2 linked regions of the Kluyveromyces lactis genome follow. The protein of the gene in region 2 purifies or fractionates together with the protein of the main gene of each other region. This does not show direct contact. Links are inferred from orthologs where the notes say so. Each region holds a gene or a part of one and is shown on either strand. Other genes may lie near its edges.

Region 1 (2,745 bases), on a different chromosome or scaffold from region 2:
CCTCGAAGGTTGTACGAAATCATCGTGGTAAAGTTCCAAATTTCGCATGCGGTATGGTGTATTCGATGGTGCCGGTTACTTTTCATTCGAGAATTGAGCGGTCCTGACCAGTATCTGCCCATATGGTATGAATTGTTCGATATTGAAAATAAGGGTAAATTCATTGCATGTGTGACAATAGTGATGTTAATGTGCATTGTACCGCAGTTGACAGAGGCGCAAGACGAAAGCGAGTGTTTGTATTTGTTATTGAACTATCCAAAACTATGCGTACCGATTGAAAAAGTTGTGGGATGGGCAAAGATCATGTACGATTATCGTGCTGTTAATACCATAGATTCACAGCATGCAGATTCAGATGCAGATGCAAATGCATCGCCGCTCGAAGAAGAAATTCTACAAGGTAGTAACGGTGAATGGTACAAAAAATACAAAGATTATGACGTAAATAGACTGCGGATGGAGATGAGGTTGAAACGACGTGCAAAATGGCGATTATCCAAGTGAAAAATGCTTGACATGCAGGTTTTCCTTGTTAACTTTTTTGTCTTTAAAATTTATTTTATTTCATTGTCTTAAACATAATAATCTATACTAAAAATAAGAAAGGGAACATTATTTCATCTATTTCTTACCTTGAGCAGCGACTGCGGCAGCACCTGCAGCAGCAGCTTCTGGGTCCAAGTAGTAAGAAGGCTTGGTTGGCTTCAAGTTTTCGTCCAAATCGAACACCAATGGGATACCGGTTGGAATGTTCAACTTAGCAATGTCAGCATCGGAGATGTGTTCCAAATGCTTGACCAAAGCTCTCAAAGAGTTACCGTGGGCGGTGATCATGACGGTCTTACCTTGTAGCAACTCGGAAGAGATGCTGTCTTGCCAGTATGGCAACAATCTGTCAATGACTAGAGCCAAGGATTCGGTCTTTGGCAAGACACTTGGGTCAACGTCACCGTAACGTGGGTCGTTGCTTTGAGAGAATGGAGAGTCGTCTTCGATAACTGGAGGTGGGATATCGAAGGATCTTCTCCAGGTGGTGAATTGTTCTTCACCGTATTGTTCCAAAGTGGCAGCCTTGTCCTTACCTTGTAGAGCACCGTAGTGTCTTTCGTTCAATCTCCAGGATCTAACGACAGGAATCCACAATCTGTCAGCTTTTTCCAAAGCAATGTTAGCGGTTTGGATAGCTCTGGTCAATTTGGAAGTGAAAAGGATATCTGGATTAACGTTGTTTTCCTTCAACAATTCACCAGCTCTGGCAGCTTCTTGTTCACCCTTGGCGGACAACTTAACATCGACCCAACCGGTGAATAAGTTCTTTTCGTTCCATTCGGATTGACCGTGTCTGACTAAAACTAACTTTGGCATATTATATTATTTTTTTTTGGTGTTGATTGGTTATTGGGATTACAGTAATTATTATTATTATTATTATAGCAGTATTAGAATTAATGTCAAAGAAGCCTTTATAAGTTCTAGTAATGCGATCCTTTTATAAGTCAAATCAGTTTAGAAAAAAAGTGGACGATGGGTGATGTTCATGGTGATGGTGAGGTACGCTGACCTGCTGAGTAGCTGCTGAGTAGCTGCTGAGCAGCTACTGAAGCAGGTGCTGTGGCAGATGTCGAGCAGCTCCTGTTCAACTACTGGCACACAACCGGGGGACACGAACATGTGATGGGAATGGTTACAGGAATCCCGGGGCGGGAAGCCACTGTTTCTTCGAACGAGAAATGAGAAGCCAGAAAAAAAAGTGGATGCTCCGGGAACCATACCGAAAAAGGTGGAAAGAACCAAAAAAAAAAAAAAACACATATGTTACCCGGATGCAATATGTTGCATCCGGGTAACATATGCGGTTTCCACTCACGTGCTATGGATATTTGCTTCCATCACGACTTTCATTTTCTTTTGACGAACTGCCGATCGCGGAAGTGCTATTCCCTACTTCTCGTCTATGAAGAAGTTAATAAAACAAACAGGCAAACCGATACTGGACATTTGTTTCAACCCTTAAGGTTTTAAGTCCGTACTTGCTTCTCCAATAACCTTCCGTTTTTCGAGTCGGCTTTTGCAGTTAAGTATCCCTCCATTTAAGTTTATTTGCCACTAACATATGCTCCTCCCCGCTAATTAAGGGTACTTCCTAGAAATCCCTGCACGGCACGGACACGGCTTAGCCAACTTTTTTTTGTGCTACTGCGTTTTGTTGTCGTTACTTCCCCCCTCGCAACAATTAATTCGGAAGTTGGATGAAAACTGAGGTTAACAAATAAGAAAGAGAGGGGCCACAAGAATCCTTACGCCGACGACAAAACAGCCGACTGATCACACTTTTCACCCTAGAAGTGAATCCACCCAGCCATCTATAGTACGGAGTAGTGAATTTGCTTTACGTCTATAGTCTTTTCGCTCCAGGAGAAACCCTTAGGACACTCCCAAGTGGGTATTTCGGATTCTCCAATTCTATGCGTGATCACATCAAATCCCCTTAAAAAAAAAAAATGGAACTTCTCTCAGAACACCAGTGAGAACAGACCAGCCGCCTCGACGGCGGCTAGTCGTTTGGAAAAATTACACAATCCTCTGTACCGGTTATCGCCAGGCTTGTTCTGATGTCCCACTTAATACTTAGCTTATTCAGCCGTTTCAACTCCGGCCTTATCTATGAACCCTTCATCCTTGACATCTGACATCTGACATCTGACATCCAATGGTACCAGGACAATGGTGATACTTTTCTCT
Region 2 (3,138 bases):
AATGATCAGAGCATGCTGTGACTAGGTATGCACTGTCTGCTGAAAACGCACAATCCCACACCCATCTCTGATGACCATCTAAAGTGGTTTCAAGTTCAAAATTATCCTCTATATTCCATACTCTAGCTGTATGGTCTGCTGAACATGTTGCTAAATGTTTTACATCCGCCGATAGTAGGACCCTGGTAATATATTTAGTATGCGATTTGAATTTAGTTACGGGCTCCAAAGTGGAAGCATCCGTGTGATGAGGCATCTTCCATACATAACAGTTCCCTTTGTTATTTCCTGCAACAAGCATCGATCCGTCGCTTGCAACGGACAACGACTGTAATGGCGTGTTATCTTCTGGTGTCAGCTGGTTTGTGCACTGGTTTTCACCAAGATCCCAAATCCTGATATTCCCATCCTGATCGCAGGAAATCAATTCCCCTTGGTTCGGATGTATCGCTACTTCATTGACAGGTGCATTATGCTTGTAATTCCTTTGCACAGATGGGGACCGTACATCCCAAACCTTAATAGTCCCATCTTCACTAGACGATACCATCCATCGATTTTCCTGTTGAAATGCAATCGACGTTACGTTCCCTTTATGGCCTTCGAAAGAGGACACCGGATTTGGATTATTCGACCGTATATCATAAAGACGGACGTGTAAATGACCAGCAGCAGCCAAATATTTCTTATCGGACGTAATCTCTAATCGATTCACTTGGGAATCTGCATGTTGAATGGTTCGTGAACAGACTCCAGTCAAAGCTTCCCAGAACCTAATTGTGTGGTCGTATCCAGCACTCGCTAGAATAACAGACATGGCAATATTGAAGTTAGTCTGACCGTACACAATAAGAAACCTCTACCTTGTTCACAGGGGAGAAAAAGCCTTGAAAACTCCTCAGATTCCTTAAGACTTTCTTTCATCTAGTATATTGCATATTCTTTATCACATTAAACCATAATTTGTCAATATTCATGATTGAGATATAAACAACAGCAATTGAAACAAAAGTGGAGGCATAGAGATAGCCACAAGATTGTGTAGTGGCTAATGTCATTGAATGACACCTGATTTGCGGCTTTGTGATGACAGATTTGTATTGGTGGGAAACTTCTATATCACGTGATTGTCACATGAATCTCGCGTGCTTAAAGCATTCATGTTTTTTTACTTCTAGAAGGTTCCAGGGTATACTCTGAAAGAACATGATCGGTTGCAACAGAACTGAACCTGAATATATAGGAATGAAATGTTATATAAAGGTTTTCAAAGAACAGGATGTTTTTCGTTCAAAGATTATTGGTCGTTGGTATTCGATCGACATGTTTAGAGAAGAGTTTTATTGCATCTTTTGTCCCATTGGTATCTCGAAACAGTGTAAACATTAACTGATTCTTTTAGTTTACTCTAATTCTTCTAGTTTAGATAGAGCTAATTTGAACTATCATTCGACATATATACAAAAGGACAATTACCAAATTTGAAACGTCGTAGGAGTATGGTTAAGGACACTAAATTATATGATTTGCTAGGAATTTCGCCTAGTGCAGGTGAAGCCGAGATTAAAAAAGGGTACAGAAAGGCTGCCTTGAAGTATCATCCAGATAAGCCTACAGGTGACACTGAGAAGTTTAAAGAAATCTCTGAGGCTTTTGAGATTCTTTCAGATGCTCAGAAGAGGGAAGTTTACGATACTTATGGTCTAGAGGCTGCTCGTGGTAATGCTCCTCAATTTGGAGGAGCGGGAGGGCCTGGTGGGCCTGGTGGGCCTGGAGGATTTTCTTCTGGTGGGTTTGCCGGGGGACATGCGTTCTCACAAGATGACGCTTTCAACATCTTTTCACAGTTCTTTGGTGGAGGAGGTGCTGCCGGAGGTGCTTCTCCATTTGGATTCTCTGCTAGCGGCGGGTCTGGTGATGATTTCGGGTTTGGAGGCAGTAGTTTCCATTCCTCTTCGGGCGGCATGCCAGGCGGTATGCCAGGTGGAATGCCAGGTGGAATGCCAGGTGGATTCAGTAGACAACAGGCTAGACCTGAAGAAGAAGTTGTTCAGGTCAATCTACCTGTGTCCTTAGAAGATTTATTCAGCGGTAAGAAGAAATCATTCAAGATCACAAGAAAAGGCGCCGGTGGTGTGTCCGAAAAGAACCAAATTGACATCCAATTGAAACCAGGTTGGAAAGCAGGTACCAAGATTACTTTCAAAGGTGAAGGTGACTATAATCCAAGAACTGGTGGTAGACAAACATTACAATTCGTTCTACAGGAAAAACCACACGAATTTTTCACCAGACAAGACAATGATTTGATTTACACTTTACCACTTTCTTTCAAAGAATCTCTTCTAGGTTTCTCCAAGCAAGTACAAACCATCGACGGTAAAACAATTCCAATCACAAGAACGCAGCCAATTCAACCTACTCAAACCTCAACATATCCCGGACAAGGTATGACACTGTCAAAGAATCCTTCCCAAAGAGGTGATTTGATTATTAAGTTCAAGATCGATTATCCAACCTCTTTAACACCTCAACAAAGACAAGCCATTATGGATAACTTCTGAATGAAAGATGAAGAATGTCTTTATAACGAAAATAAATCATAAAAGTATGACATGACGATTGCAAATTTAGACTTCTGACGGTGATCATGTTTACAATTCAACGTCTGCCAGAAATATTATCTTCCCACCATTATGGTTCTATGTCATATGTTTTCATTTCTTTAAATGTTTACTCCCATTAATTATTTCCAATTCAAATGTTCCATTCACATTCACTTCAGCAGAAGCAATCTTATCGTATGGCTACATTGTCTGTCGATTAATGCGTTAACTTTCTGACCACACTGTACACTATTTTCAAAAAAATATCCTTCGGTAAATGAAGCACGCAACATAAGTTGAGGACGCAATATAATATGCGAGAGAATACAAGGAGAATTATTCAATGATTGTTAATACTGGTAAAGTAAGAAACGGGACGTTTCATTGTGACACCTCGACTTCTGTTCACAATGTAACCATTTGCATAGATTTTAACCTTCATTTACCTTTTTATTGAGCAAATGACATCATGCAAATAAAAGACATACCAATCTGCAAGTTTCCCGACTTCTATTTGGTTCCGAACAATTGA

What was found. Proteins that work in one complex are often made in the same cells at the same time.
Region 1: the proteins of SIS1 (region 2) and GPM1 purify together in Saccharomyces cerevisiae (affinity purification with mass spectrometry; 3 studies listed by BioGRID). This does not show direct contact. The link is inferred for Kluyveromyces lactis from reciprocal best matches to the Saccharomyces cerevisiae genes SIS1 and GPM1.

Annotation. Positions count from the first base shown.
Region 1 is NC_006041.1:1,049,490-1,052,234, forward strand, and holds GPM1 (phosphoglycerate mutase GPM1), read right to left. Parts: upstream 1,369-2,745; coding exon 625-1,368; downstream 1-624. Other genes in the region: GTPase-activating protein GYP6, read left to right, coding at 1-507. UniProt on the Saccharomyces cerevisiae protein: Interconversion of 3- and 2-phosphoglycerate with 2,3-bisphosphoglycerate as the primer of the reaction. Can also catalyze the reaction of EC 5.4.2.4 (synthase), but with a reduced activity.
Region 2 is NC_006040.1:411,041-414,178, reverse strand, and holds SIS1 (type II HSP40 co-chaperone SIS1), read left to right. Parts: upstream 1-1,499; coding exon 1,500-2,564; downstream 2,565-3,138. Other genes in the region: TOR complex subunit LST8, read right to left, coding at 1-817. UniProt on the Saccharomyces cerevisiae protein: Required for nuclear migration during mitosis. It is required for the normal initiation of translation. Might mediate the dissociation of a specific protein complex of the translation machinery. Essential for viability.